2 linked regions of the Tribolium castaneum genome follow. The protein of the gene in region 1 interacts with the protein of each later gene in a biochemical or structural test. Links are inferred from orthologs where the notes say so. Each region holds a gene or a part of one and is shown on either strand. Other genes may lie near its edges.

Region 1 (7,963 bases):
ACATTTTTCCCGTGATCTACACGTGTTCTCAACAACGTACCACTGCGTTGGTGCGCCAGTTTTTGAGCAGCCTGTAGATAAATCTAGATAATTCTTTTGTTCTACACACATTCACTGAAACTTGGTTAGATAATAACTTGATAATATCGGGTGATTCAAAAATGTGTGGCATAATTTTAACCACGAATACCCCTCTACAATTAAGAATAGATAGGATAGTATTTACTGACCCACCACAAAAAATTGGAAAATTACAATTTTTCAGAAATTGGTATGGAAAAATGGTTTTTTGAAAATATTTTTGTTACCGTTCATGCGATTATTATGAAATTTTGCATGTCAAGAGACACAAAGACGCTCTTTGATATGGTGTAAATGGAAATCTTGTAAAAGCTATACATTTCCGGTGACAAGGGGACCCTTCCAGTTTTTAGGTGATAACTCAATTTTTCGGCCTATAAACACGTATTTTTGATGTCAAAAATCAAAAGCCCAATTATTTTTTAATAAAAAAGGTACTCTTGCTTCATGTCGTCAAACTGTACCGTTCTCGAGTTATTTGGGATTAAACTAAACTCTAAAAAAAACATCTTTTTTATTGTTGAATTGGTGGTCAAAAGGGCATTGTGTGACAAAACCGATTTCGGGGTGAAATGGGGCGAAAACTGCAATAGTGCATTTGCGGAGCTATAAATATTGAAATTAGGTGAAAAAGTGGGAAAAATTATGAAGCAATTTGTGGTAAATAATTGAGTTTTTCGCTATTAGCAAAGTGACTTTCTTAAAATGTCATTTTTAAGAGGGTGTTAGTGTTTTTTCGGATTTTTATTTTATTAAACGGTTTCAAAGCTGACAACCAAACATACATCTACGCAAATTGAAACGTATTTTGCTAGTGTGAAACTGGCTTCATGTTCGGGTTTCTTCGGAATTTCGAGGAGCTGGTTTGGGGAGCTGTCTTCACACAAATCAATGTCAATGACACCCGAACACTAACCTACAAAATTTAACTTTGGAGGGAAACTGTCAATACGTTGTGTTAGTTGATTATGGAGACAATGGAAGTAGAAGAAGCCCCACAGGCGGGCCCTTCGGCCGAACCCGGCCAAGGCCCGTTACAAAAAGCCGATAACCTCCCTTGGTAACTCCCTCACTTCCAACCACAATCTCTAACAGTTCGTTAACAGGATCGAAAAATACCGCCCCCAGACTTTCCAAGAAATCGTAGGCAATGAAGACACCACCAATCGCCTGTCAGTCATCGCCAAACAGGGCAACCTCCCCAATTTAATCATTGCCGTAAGTGTAATTTTCCCCCTATCCACTCCACAATTAACTAGGGGCCTCCTGGCGTGGGCAAAACCACCACAATCCTGTGCCTGGCCCGAATCCTTTTAGGCCCAGCGTTTAAAGACGCTGTTCTCGAACTCAACGCGTCAAACGACAGAGGTATAGACGTTGTCCGTAACAAAATCAAAATGTTTGCGCAACAAAAAGTCACTCTCCCGCCTGGACGCCACAAAATCATTATCTTGGACGAGGTGGACAGTATGACCGAAGGGGCGCAACAAGCCCTAAGACGCACGATGGAAATTTACAGTAATACGACTCGGTTCGCTTTGGCTTGTAACTACAGTGAAAAAGTGATAGAAGCGATTCAGTCACGGTGTGCTATTTTGCGGTACTCCCGCTTAACGGATGCCCAAGTGTTGGCAAGGGTGATACAAGTGTGCCAACAGGAGAGTGTTGAATATACGCAGGATGGGCTTGAGGCGATTGTGTTCACAGCTCAGGGGGATATGAGACAAGCGTTGAATAATTTACAGTCGACTTTTAACGGCTTTGGGGTTGTTAATTCCACTAATGTGCTGAAAGTGTGCGATGAGCCCCATCCTATGTTAATTAAAGATATGCTCAACAGTTGTGTTACTGGTGATGTAAGGAAGGCGTTCAAGGTCGGTAACAATTTGAATACGTGTTTTTTTTTGTTATTTAGTGGAGTTTTGTTGCAGATTGTTGATCATTTGTGGAGTTTGGGGTACGCTGCCGAGGATATTATTAAGAATATTTTCAAGGTTTGCAAAAATATGGACATGGAGGAGAGTTTGAAACTTGCTTTTATTAAACAAATTGGGGTCACACATATGAGGATTGTTGATGGTTTGTGCTCTTTGGTGCAAATGTCGGGACTTATATCGAGATTATGTATGGAAGCTAAAGGAGTGAAGGGTGAATGATTACTTTAAAATTTGCTATTGTATTTAAATAAGTTTTTCAATAAAAAATATACAACTTAATTGGTGTTTATATTGAAACAAACAAATCACATTCAGTGCGACTTTATTCGATCATTAAAACGGAAGTATCACAACATAAATAATATTAAATAAAATACGTACATAAAGAAATAATCTCACTATTTTTCCTAACATCGTTTCGTTAAAAATACAAACAATAGAATAGTAAACGATTTGATTCAATCATTTTAAAATGCAGACTAGGTTTACGACATTTATTATTTATTAAAAATAAATTAATCATCGCTATCGCTGTCATTGTTGACTTGTTGCGCTTTTATACCTTCCTGCAATTGTAACACATGTTTGATGGGATGAGGTTTCCCATCCTCGCCTACTCTACATGGTTGGATGGTCCCAGATCTGGTCAAACTGTCCATTAATTCGACCAACTTCATGGCCTCATACTCTTTCTGCAAACAAAAAAATTACCCTGATTATTTTTTTCCTCAACAAAAAAAAAAAACAATTTTTGTTGTGGGTCGCCAGGAGCCACAATAACCGTTTTTTCAACAAAATCAAATTACCTGTTCCTCTGTCATATTTTCCATTGCGTTGGGATGCGGTTCTTCGTAACACCCAATCACTGGATTAATCCCATGTTTAAATTCGGCATATTCTTCAGTTTCGCTTCCCTCACTACCTGAACTATAATCAGCCTCGCCTCTATCTGAGCGCCCCCCTAAGAGCCCCCTTTTGGCAAAGAGACCCGCAGCATTGCCATAACCCGTATACTTAATCATCCTTTTGACTAAAATTATAATAATTATTTAAAAAATAAATAAAATGAATTGTTTTTACCGCTTTTTTTGCACAAAATGAACAACAAATCGGCCACCAAATCCCTCAACTGTGTTATCGGCGTGGTTAAAAGCCGACACAAGTGATTACGAAGTGTGGAGCCTTGTTCAGGTCGACTGTGCACATCTTTCAAAGGTGGAAGAATTTGGAGACGGAGATATTTTCGAATAGCACGTTCACTGTTTGCACTTTTCAATAAAATTGTTACGACAGGACACAAAATTTCGTATTGTTTTGTGACACCTTCAACGTTGTTAAATTTGCTTTTTAGCACCATCAGGATTTCGTAAAAAGCCGTCATATTCTGGCCTTCGAATTGAAATTTGGGTTTGAGGTTTTGGCCAGGTTGGACAGGTGTTATCAGATTTTTGAAAGTTGAATCAGGCATGTTTGTTAGTAAATTGATTACGTTGTTTTTTAATGCCAGGCCTTTTTCTTTATCTTGTGTTGGTACAAGAAGATACATTCTTAAGAGAGTGACCAAATGGTCACACTGTTCGTTTTCTTCTTTATCGTCATAGATGCCGTAACTTAATGTTACGTTAAATAGGGCTTTCAGAATTTCGCAAGCCAGGTCCACTTTTTGGTCCTAAAACAGAAAAAACAAGCAAGATAATTAATATTACTTTATTAAAACATCTTCCACTATTTCCCTACACATGTGATTTTTTTTTAGATTTTTTCCACACTTCCTTATAATTAAAATTATTTTAATTAATGAATTAATAAAACGATGCCTACAAACTGTTTTTGCACAAAGAAATATTCTTCATTGAATAAACAACAAGTTGTCTTAAAAAATTTATTATACAGGGTGTCTCAAAATAAATTGTTAAAAAAAATATAACTATACTTACATCCAAAATAATTTTTTCGGGTGATGCTTGGGCCGCTTCTTTCAGCATCTCATCTAGCATTTTAAGCAAAGATTCGACCCCTTTTAATTCTTCCTTTACTTTTGAGCGAACTTCAGAACACAGTGCTGTTAGTAGGAAAATGAGCTTAACATCGTAAAATCTGATTTCTTCCGGTATTTTATTCTCTTGGGGATTTTTGATACGTTCAGTTAACTGTTCCAAAACACCATTTTTGCAACACAGTCCTGCAGCAACAGGACTGTTGAAAATCACATTGCATAAACATTTTTCCACTTCAATTGCCAATAATAATTTACTAGCATCAAATTTGTACTGGGGATCGTCCAAACCGGAGTGTTTTTGCATGAGTTTGAACCATTCGTCTGTTATTAACTCGTTCAGACCCATTTTTTCCCGACTAAAATTTTTTGCATGTTATGAATTATCACCGAAATTGTATTGATTTGAATTGGCATAGGTGGCTACGGAAATTTAAATTTCTGTTGGTAACTCAAATCAATCAAATAGTTTAGGATTTAGCTACCATATGCCAATTCATTTCGGAATAATTCCGCAAATACCTTAATATACGAATTGCGATAAAGCAATTCATTAGTGTAATCTCACTATTGGCTGTTTTGGCCAATGTAAATAATGCCTCCCATAATTCTTTCCGTTGGTTATTTTTATTGAGTTCTGGAAACTCGAATACTTGTGAAGCCTTCAATACAAGATTGTTGTTTATTGTAACTGTCATTAAATATTTATACATACCTCTTCAACGAAACATTGTAGCGATTCTGCTGCTTCTTTTCCTCCTTTTATTATAGTTTGGATATGTTTATCCATTATTATTCAACACCTGTTAGTGTCTCTTGTTAGTTACTTCTGTACAACAACCACGTTAACGTACCTGAATATTTCGTTACGGTTTTATTGAATGTTTTCTTGTTGTTTACACACAAATTATGTTTTTCTGCTAAACACCACAGATAAAATTAGAGAAATTGACAGTTTTGACACCTGCGCACTGACAGCGTCAAAACTGGACGCCCCTTTTTTACAGGTATCTGTAACTTAGAAGCGCAACCTGTAATTTTTTTTTTGTTACGAAACGTTCTAGCATTTATTACAATGTTTTTTGATGTTTTTATGTGTAGTTGGAATTTCAAGCAACTCGATTATAGATTTCTTGTGCTAAAAAAATAATTTTATAAACATACAATCACCGTATTAGTGTTGTGAGTGTCGCGCCCTCTGATTGTTAATTGTAAAAGCACTAAATTTCTTTATCGAGTCTACGGAGGACTATAAGTTAGGAGACGAAACGTACCAAAAAAATAGTACGGCCGAGTAAAAATTCAACCAATTCACTAATTACTTGGAAAAAATACAGAAATGTTGTCGTAGCACTTGAGAAAAACTGAAAGAAAGATGAGAAAAAAATTATTTAAAATTTAGAATTTGCGCAAAGTTTTGTATTTCTTACGAAATACAAAAAAATTATAAAAATTATGTTTTTATTTTCAGCGGTTTAAGTATAAATTAAATTTCCAATACAAAATGAAGCAAATCCGCGCTTGAGCGTTTTTGAACGACTTTGGGGACTAAATGGTTGAAGATAGAGAACTAGTCTTGCGGACTTTTTTGTAGGAAATTTACTTCTCTACAACTTTTTTTCTAACATTTTTCTTGTATCTGTAACGGTATTCGCAGCGTTTTGAAAAATATGGGACAGAGAGCAAATTGGTTAAACTTTGAATTTTTTTTAAATAGATTACAGTAAAATTCTTGCTTATGTTTATGTCTTACTATTGAGAATTTAATGCTCTATCTGGCTGTGTTTTTTTTGTTTGCTATGTGTTAACCGTTGTACAAATACAACAATTTTTTTCAAAAATTTAGATAACTGCGCTCTCTGGCGACATTAACGAAACTATTGGGGACGGGAACGTTTTATTTGTACGTCGTTTGTTATCCTAACCTTTAGATATTCGTAGTCAAAATGTTTTAATTAAAAATTAGACCGAAATTGATGTAATTTAAGCCGCTTTTAAGCGATTTAACTGTTTTTTGACTCAAAAAACAGCTTAAAATAAGTGTTATCTTTATATTCTCATGTTTTCACGCACATTAATTACTAAGAGCGTCTCAAAATCAAAGATACCTTATGTAAAATCGTCCCATACAAACTTTTTTCGTGTTAAAATTTTTTGTTTAAAAAAATCGACCCAAAACACTTCTTTATCCGGAATTATTACCCACGGTTTAACACTAGTTTTGAACGTTTTTTTTTACTCATTCTGCGAGACCTACAGATGGCGACCACGACACACGTCTGTAAACAGTGCCGTGAAACAGTAAATATAAACATCGACAAAGTGATCCTTTGTTATGGAAAGTGCAACACATGCATTCACTATGCATGCAGCCCATACAAACCTGGAGAAATCAAGGTACTAGATAACTACAAGGAAAATATCAAATGGGTGTGCGACTCCTGCAGAATCAGACCCTCGCAAGAGGAAGCGATGAGACACCTTATAGATATTGTAAGTAACCTTAAGGGAAAAATTGACGACTGTCTGAAACAAATACAAAATCAAAACGGAACAATACAAAGGTTAGATCAGCTGTTAGCGGAGTCACAAACCAAATCGTCCAAACCAATAACAAGATCCAACAAAGGACACACAGATGTCATCACAAACCAAGAAAGAGAAAACCTGACGAACGTAAAAGCTCAGAAAAAAAGTAACAAGCCATCTGACAGGGTGATAGAAAACAACAAGCAAAAAAAACAAGTTGACAAGGAGGGTAACACAGTCCAGGACAAAAAACCCGAAACAAGCCAATCATTAAACCAACGAAACGACGAAAAAGAAGACCCCAACAAATCGGTAGGTTTTGAAAACCTAACCACAATAATAAACTATAACATACAATCACTATCGAAAAAAATAGACGCACTGACTATACAGTTAACAGAAGACGAAGTAGACATTGTAATTATCACTGAGCACTGGTGCAAGGACAACACCCTGGAAAGCTTAACCATCCCAGGATATAATATTATAAGCCACTTTAGCAGATCACTTAACCAGCATGGCGGATCCTTAATCGCAACAAGGGAGGGTATTTCCGCAAAAAATATTGAAGGCATTAGACCCCTATGTGAAGAATTCACTGCAGAAATCTCAGCTGCTGAGATTCCTTCAAAAAACTTAATAATAATGGCGGTATATCGATCTCCAAATCAGAACTTCAAGCACTTCATAGATAAAATTAATGAAGCACTAGAAAACCTGACACAAAGGAACCACTCTAGACGATACATTGTCGCTGGGGACTTTAACACCAATATTCTCAAGGATGGCGTCGAACAATCTTTATTAATCGAAACTTTCACAACATATGGTATGCAACCACTAATGAGAGAGGCATCTAGAACAACTGAAACTTCTTCTAGCTGCATAGATAATATATTTTCAAATATTAACATAGAAGAAATCTTCTCAAAAGAGACAAAAAGTTGGTGCATGTCTGATCACTACTGTCAAGTCCTGAAGATTAAGAACCCAGTGCAAGAACCTAGAAAACCAGAAAAACATATATACAGAAGAATAAATGAACAGAATACTTACTACTTTAAGGAGTACTTAACCGGAATTGAGTGGGCTCGTGTCTTCAAACACCGTAATGCAAAAGAGGCCTACACTGTCTTCCATACAACTCTGACAGCTGCCTTTGACAAATTCTTCCCTAGAAAAGAAAAAATTAATAAACCAAAATTCAATAAGAGACCTACGTGGATTAGTAAAAAAATCATGAGTATGAAAAATACACTAGAAGCTCTACAAACAATAGCAAGAGTTGAGAAAAGCCAACAATCAGCTGAGGTCTTCAAGTCATATAAACGCAGCTACTTCCAAGAAATTGAAGAAAACCACAGAAACTACAACGCTTATATCCTAAACAATGCTGATAATAAGCAAAAAGCCATTTGGA
Region 2 (7,517 bases), on another chromosome or scaffold:
GCCATACTCTTGCGCACCTTCAACAAAACGCGCCCTCAAAAATCATCACTCAACACAACCAAAACCCATACCTGCGTATTCGGGGAAACATATTGTTAAAGGCGACTTCCTAATTTTTTCCTCGAACAAGTCTTTCTTATTAAGGAAGAGGATTATAGACGTGTCCGTGAACCACTTGTTGTTACAGATCGAATCGAAAAGCTTCAAGCTCTCCTGCATTCGGTTCTGGAACAGAAAAAATTGATCACTGCAAAGTTCCAATGATAAAGTTAGAAATTAGGGAATAGAAACTTTCCCAATCAATAAAATGAAATATGGTATAACTCCCGTGACGTTTGTTTATACCCAGATACAATCATTTCGACTGATTATTATTAAATACGTTGACGTCATCGCGCGATGAATTAATTGCGACGAATGAAATTCAACATAAATGAGTAAAACACATTTGTCACAGAACTTAGTAACGCATTTCTTTGCGAAAATTTTATTATTGTGTGATTTCGGCGATTTGGTGGTAGAATCCACCCTCCGCATTCAATTTTTTAACTGGCTTTCAGGCTGAGAGCACTCGGTGCCACTTGACAAATCAAATTGAGCTATTTGGAGCTTGGAATTAAACGAGGAAAAAATCGCGGAATAATGTTGGAAAATTAATGCACCTACAAAAATAGGCTTCCCGGAAATTTTCCTTTGATGTAATGAAAGATTAAATTCCATTAAAATTGGTTTGACGGTTCTATTAATAACGTAACGAACAGGAAACTATTTGTTTTAAACCCACCCTTGCTATGTTAGATAACCACATTATGGAATATACTACAGAAGCGGATTAAGCGCCCCTTGTAGACTCGACGTCCCAAAACTTGAAGGAGTCACTCGTCAAAAAAATATTTATAGCGTAACAAATACACAATTATTATGCTTATTCAATTTCTTACAAAGTTTAGTAAAGTAAAGCACAAAAATTACACACAATTATTTTCAAATTATTACAATATTTTTCACATACCAAGATTCGTTTATTTAGAAAGTGAGAATTCGGAAATGATTTTATGTAGGTAATGGAATATTTGAGAGATTTTGAGTAAGTGAATCTTCAATTTCATGCGAATACCGGGGATCAAATAAATAGAGAAAACATTTCTTTTGCCGTTGCTTAGATCGTTACTATTCACAAAATTTTGTTATCTCTGCACTTTTTAGTTAATTAAAGTGTGTTCTTTTTTAAACGGAATTCCCCAAGTCAAAATTTTGGTCAAGACATTGTTTTTGTCCTTAAAAATTTCGTTAAATATTAAGGTTATGTTTTACTTTTAAAGTTTTGTTTAAATTTAGACTGTCCTTTGAACGCGTGCTTATCAAATACCTGAGGATAGATATATCAATACCATGTGTCCAATCATTAAACTCACTGACAGACGAATAAATTTTAATGAAAAAAAAGTTTATATACCGAAAAAAGTTGTTGGGTTTAAATTTTCTGTAATTAATTTGAAATCTAAATTAATCTTCAGCTTTACTTTCAAAATTAGCACAGTAATACATTTTCAGTTTCTTCATCAAATGCTGTGCAACAAGACATTCTTATTTAATTTGTCTATGATTTGTCTGCATTTTCGTCACTCTTTTTTATTAAAAATTGAAAAATGATAAAGAAATCTATAAGTATTATATATTTCGAGGATGGTCTTCATATGACTAATGCTTTCACATTCAACATTTTCTAAAATTGCTGTCGGTACCTAGTCTGTATTTTTGTGTAATACACTTTAATTTGTTTAATGGCATTTTTTTCAAAATAAAACAAAAACCGAAATTCTATTATCATTTTAATATCTTTTTTAAAATTACTAGAACTGTTTCACATGTCGGTCTATAAAAAAACCGTTGTCAGTTCCCCTCATTAAATAAACCATTCAGCAATTATCGTTGTTCAAATTGCAAATCTCATTTTGCAACTTTGAAAACGCTTACTAACTTCTGACACTTATGGTTAGTTTATAAAAGCGCCATTAATTTAATCTGCAAATAAATGCGTGATTAATTGATCATGTGACCAAATTGAACAAATTTGATTGGTCCATTCGTGTTGTTAACTTTTAACAGCGAATTAAATTTTAACAAAACTTTCTATAAACCGACCCTAAATGAACTTTAAATCAAAAACTTCTGCAAAAATCTTCGCCAATCCAAAATGTAGTCTTTTGCATTGCAATCCAAAATTCGTCATTTAATAAAATGCGACGAAAGGTTTTTGTGTCCTCTCTTAGTAATCACTAAAAAACACAAAAAAATCAAACTACTTAGTACCTACTTATACAATATGAAACTTTCATTTACACCTAAAGTTTTTAATTACTAAATAAAATTTGGTTCCGCAACTACAGGGTTTCGCGCATTTTAATTTCACCTGCTTATAAAAATTCGTTGTTAGGTAAAAGCAAGTACTATTTATTTTTGCGCGCATAGTGAATTAGTTGAAAATATATTTCAAAATATATAATTGTGATGTGAGAAGAAAGATAAACAGTGAATCAACAAAAAATGAAAAAAAAAAGATAAAAGAGACACTGCAAAATTAATTGGTGAATTTACTAAACTGAGTTCAGAACACAAATACAGGGTAATTTTTAAACAACGGCAGCCGGTGTAGAATTTTTCTTTATGACGCTGCTGGCGATTTAAAAAAAATGGATTATATTCAACTTTTTTATTTAATTTGGGACCCATTTTTTTCATAATTTGGAAAATTAGCACAGATATTAGTTTGTTTAGTACAGACATCTACAATATGTTCTAATTTTACTAAAAATTATTGTTTAAAGAACTTATCAGCAAAGTTGTATACGTAAAAATTTGATTTTTTTAAATTGTGGTTATAAATTTTATTTGTTATTTTCCTTGAAACGTTTAGTTTTGGTACTTTGTTACTAAAACTACAAACTTTTCTGATAACCCACTTGCTTCTTTTTTGGAGTGACATTAGATAGTGTTTATTTATTTTATTTATTAAATAAGGGCGCCAAAACTTTTTTCTGTGAATACTCACTGTCGTTTCATCCTCGTGCAGGACTTGATCATATTCGCTCATCGCTACGCAGAAAATAATTGCCGTCACGTCTTCGAAACAGTGAATCCACTTCTTTCTTTCTGACCTCTGACCACCCACATCGAATAATCTGTAAAAGTAAATTACACGATGTATTTACTTCACTGCGACACATAAAAGGTTCTTTGAATTCAAGCACATTTAATTCCGTGAGTCACAATGAAAGAGGCTCTGGAAATGAGTTGCTGCAGCAGATGCTAAAAACGTAGCCATTTAATATTTCAAAAGACTTTGTGCAATGGAAACTTTTGCAAACGGTTGTTTTTACGTGGGAAAACCCACGACAACTTATAAAATAGGCTTCGCTCTTTCAGCTCTTTATTAATAGAAACACAAGGAAAAACTTTTTTCATTTACTTTCGTGTTTATTAAAAATCGCCAACAAACTCACTTGAAATTGAGGTTTTTAAACGAGAAATGCACTTCGACGATCCCCGTCGTTTTGACTCTTGTGCGGAGGATGTCCTGTTCCGTAGGTTGATAGTCTTTGGCACCTAATCGGTCCAGATCGTCCAGGAAACTGGAAAAAAAACGTCGTGGGTAATACCTTACCCTGAATGGTCGATTTTTGCTTACTATTTAGCGGAATCGTTCAGTTGGTATTCGTTGGAACGACCGAAACATTCTTGAACCCCCGAATCAGCCCATAACCGCTTCATGGCGGCGAGGAGTTCTTCGGAAAAAGGTTCCGTGTCTTCCATCCTTTGGATAACGTCGAAAACCATTTTACCATCGATCTGTTGGCGAAATTCACATTTTATATTCGATCAGCAACAGGTAACAAGGTCATTGAAGCCTGCCCTTTTTGGCTACGGTGAATGAACGTGCACTTTAAAATAAACTTTGACTTAATCCGCAAGTGGTCTCGTTTAACATTAACCCGAAACAAAAAAAAGCTTGCTATAATACTCCAGTAAACGAAGTTAGTAACACAGATTTGTTTGTTACTATACAGACTGTTCCGTCTGAACCGTACATTAGAAGTACAGAAAGTTCTGATAATTATATAAATCTGAAAATTGGTGCACACCCTAAGCCGTTGGAAGTCCGTATTAACTTTCTTATTTTAAAGATATGTTTTTTACTTTCGTCAGATTTTCCAATAACTAAATTTAGCGTTTTTCGAAATATTTAAAAATCTTTGTAAATTTTTGTTTTTGCACCTTTCACTTAAAAAATCGTCAATTCTGCTATTTTTAGAATTTTAAAAAACGTTTTCGAAAAATCAAAACAGAAAGCCTATATCTTTCCTTCAGTGTGTTCAAAATTAGAAAAAAAGTTTACGAACTCCAAAATTTTAATGTTATTTTTGCACAACTTCAACAAGCTATAAGGCAATTTTTTCAAATGGAATGCCTCAATTTTTATTTTACTACTTCAGATATCTATTAATATCCATTTATGACAATTTTCAAGTTATGTTGATTTATTTACTTTGACTTTTGACAATGTCGGAAATTCCTTACTAGCCACAGATATTTTTGTAGAGTTTAACAAAGAAACATTTCTCATTGAATAAACGATAAGTTCTGCTGATAATTTTGCTTTCCTTTCCGTAAAAACAAAATATTAGCTGTTTCAAAGCTATAAAAACGCCAACGTCGCATTTTCTCTCAAAATTAGCTGTTATAAATTATTTATTCATCGATACTGTCAAAATTTCCGGTTTTTCTCCTGTGTAAAACAGTTTTGATAACTGTTTGGCATTTCTCGACACGAAACGTCAGAATATTTTAACAGATTTAAAGCAATTTTAAGCCTTGTTGAGTCTAATTCGAAGAATAAAATGTCGTATTCGACTCTTTTTCTTGTAAATCGGTTCACTCATTTCATCTCGTAGATGATAAACCACTCATTTTGACTCGTGGTTTGATAATTCATTCGTGAAATAAAACGTCCGATTTACACTCAAACTAGTTAAATAATAGTATATTAAAAAACTAGTTTCATAAGACCAAAGCACGAATTCAGTTTTTGAAAGAATAAGTGCTCTAAGGTCTTATGAAACGAGTTTTTTATACTATTATTTGTAATTTGACCCCTTTTTGCCGTTTTTAAACAAAAATTGTTATTTTAGTCGATTTAGGGATTTTTGTGATTGTTGGTAATATCTCAATTTTTAAAGTGAAAAATTGATTTAAAATTTTTGTTTTATCAAATTTGTGAAATTCACAAAAATACGGTCCCGATTTTGCTTCTTGCCAACCCAAAAATTTTCGTAAAATGTTCCGTCAAATAATGACTATTATAACAACGCATCAAAATGGCGGTAAATTACAAAAATAACTATTATGCGCTTCAAAAAAAAATAGCTTATGTAATTTACACTCTGAAGCAGAGATCTAATAGTCATTAATAACTATTTTACAATTTTATCAATCTTATTTCAAAAAAATAATTTGGCAAAATTCGACGTTGGCGTTTTTATAGCTATGAAAGAGCTTATATATTTATTGAAATTAGATTTGGAAAACTTTGATTTCTTACTAACGTTTCCTTGACAACCTATGCGAAAAGAGCTATGGCTAATGAATTTCTCAGTGCCAGCAAAAAGTTAAGACGTTTCAAAATTAGCAAACTTCATTTTTAAAATTTGGAGTTTGCTAACTTTTTTTAAAAATTCAAAAATCCCAAAGAAACCTCTTTCAAAAAAGCCAAAAAAGATTTCAAATTTTTTAAAACCGGCAGAGTTACCGGTTTTTGAAGAGTCAAAAAAGAAAATCCAAACATTTTCAAAAAATCCTAAATATTTAAAAAACCAATAAATTTAGGAATAGGAAAAACTAATAGAAACTCCCTTAAAATAACTCAATAATCCAAAAATGTAGTAAAAAACATAGTTTTCCATTTAAAATAAGAAAGTTGATAACGACTTTCGGTATAACCATGCCTCCATGTTGAAAATATTTTCATTGAACAGAACCTAACAAATTATGGTTGTCAGCAAATTTTCAGATGACTACCATTATTAGAACTCACAATACTTCTAAATGGGAGGTTTAGATGAAACAGCTGTAGCTAGTATGGATACAGTTTAAATATTATAAAACTATTCACCAAAAATTGAAATTTGGTATATGCTTAAGAGTATATAAATTGTATCATTTCAAATGACTATCAAATTTATTTCTCTATTTGTTCTTAGGATACGAACCTAATACATAAAAAGTCGTTAGCCTTTGAAATGTTATCTTTATTTGTTGCTAGCTTTTTGCCGCTTAAACATTGACTAAAAAATAAGTAAATAATAAAATAAATAAAATAAAATAATAAATAAGTTAATAATAGTTGCTAAAATACCACATCTAACTGAACAAGAAAACATTTTAATAACAAAAAACATGAAAAACGTGATTTTTATGCTACAAGAGATGTTCAAAATGATTTCCACTGACTTCTTGGCTTTCTGTCACCATGACCAACCAACATGAAAATTTTTTTCGTTCAGTCTCACGTAAATGTATTACTTAACTATTGCACACAAGTTTAATTTTTGGATAATTAATTTTCAAAACAAAAAGTTTTACTTTTCTAGAAATCCAGAATAAAATTTTTGCATTTAATTTATTTTTTTACTTTTTAATAAAAATAAAGGTGGGTATTAAGTTACATCACCAAATTCAGAAAAAAATGTTCTTTTAAAAAATCAAGTTAGCGTTGTATTTTCAAAATAAATGTCGATAAAAAATTTAAAACGTTCTTAGATGAGAATTGAAACAAATTTTCTGCTCTGTTAAACCGTTCTGAAAATATTTAACTGTACCCATACTTTTTAGCGATCCTGTATTTACAGTTCACATGAATAATTGTTGCTTAATCATAGGCCACGCCTAAGCGGTGTGAAAAATCACGTCGGTGTGATAAATGTGCAGTTTTCAGCCGTAGGTCGAATAAAATCCTTGGGCCCTTCGTTCGCTTGCGCCGGCTCAAACCTTTCACATGTGTTCAACACCCAAACATTAATAATATAAATATTTGTTTCTCCGAATATATTGGACTTATTTTAAGTCAATTATTTATTATTTCAGCAGCAAGAACGCAATTTTAATTTAAACTTTACAATATTTTACGCTCGAAATAGTTCGGCGTGGTTATTTTTTGTGCGAGGAAAAGCTGGGATTCCGTGTATCACAATGCATAATTTATGTTGAAAATGTTTTCCGAGTGAATTTTCTTCGCTCACCTCTCGCTCGTTGTTGCCGTAGCTGATTCCGAGGTTTGGCATGGCCCGCAGGATGGCCACAAGGGATTGAATAGTGTTGCTATACACCACAGGTCGGTATTGTTTGAAGTCTTCGCTTGTAAACCCACTTTCGTGGATAATTCTGAAACAGCAGTCCATCAATCAATGTCATGAAAAAATTCAGCCATTATTATGCGATTAGTGCGGAAGCAGGAAGGAATT

The links.
Region 2: of the proteins of ric8a (region 1) and Galphao, one has a biochemical effect on the other in vitro, tested with the Caenorhabditis elegans proteins (2 studies listed by BioGRID). The link is inferred for Tribolium castaneum from reciprocal best matches to the Caenorhabditis elegans genes ric-8 and goa-1.

What each region holds. Positions count from the first base shown.
Region 1 is NC_087402.1:965,443-973,405, reverse strand, and holds ric8a (synembryn-A), read right to left. Parts: upstream 5,024-7,963; 5' UTR 4,869-5,023; intron 4,818-4,868; 5' UTR 4,805-4,817; coding exon 4,730-4,804; intron 4,677-4,729; coding exon 4,537-4,676; intron 4,374-4,536; coding exon 3,956-4,373; intron 3,688-3,955; coding exon 3,099-3,687; intron 3,049-3,098; coding exon 2,825-3,048; intron 2,711-2,824; coding exon 2,534-2,710; 3' UTR 2,324-2,533; downstream 1-2,323. Other genes in the region: RfC4 (replication factor C subunit 2), read left to right, coding at 1,050-1,141, 1,188-1,299, 1,341-1,955, 2,013-2,237. UniProt on the Caenorhabditis elegans protein: Chaperone that specifically binds and folds some, but not all, nascent G alpha proteins prior to G protein heterotrimer formation, promoting their stability and activity.
Region 2 is NC_087396.1:19,004,191-19,011,707, reverse strand, and holds part of Galphao (guanine nucleotide-binding protein G(o) subunit alpha), read right to left. Parts: intron 7,438-7,517; coding exon 7,296-7,437; intron 3,850-7,295; coding exon 3,689-3,849; intron 3,633-3,688; coding exon 3,504-3,632; intron 3,183-3,503; coding exon 3,053-3,182; intron 226-3,052; coding exon 72-225; intron 18-71; coding exon 1-17. UniProt on the Caenorhabditis elegans protein: Guanine nucleotide-binding proteins (G proteins) are involved as modulators or transducers in various transmembrane signaling systems. In the 1-cell embryo, probably together with gpa-16, controls nuclear rotation and spindle elongation during mitosis.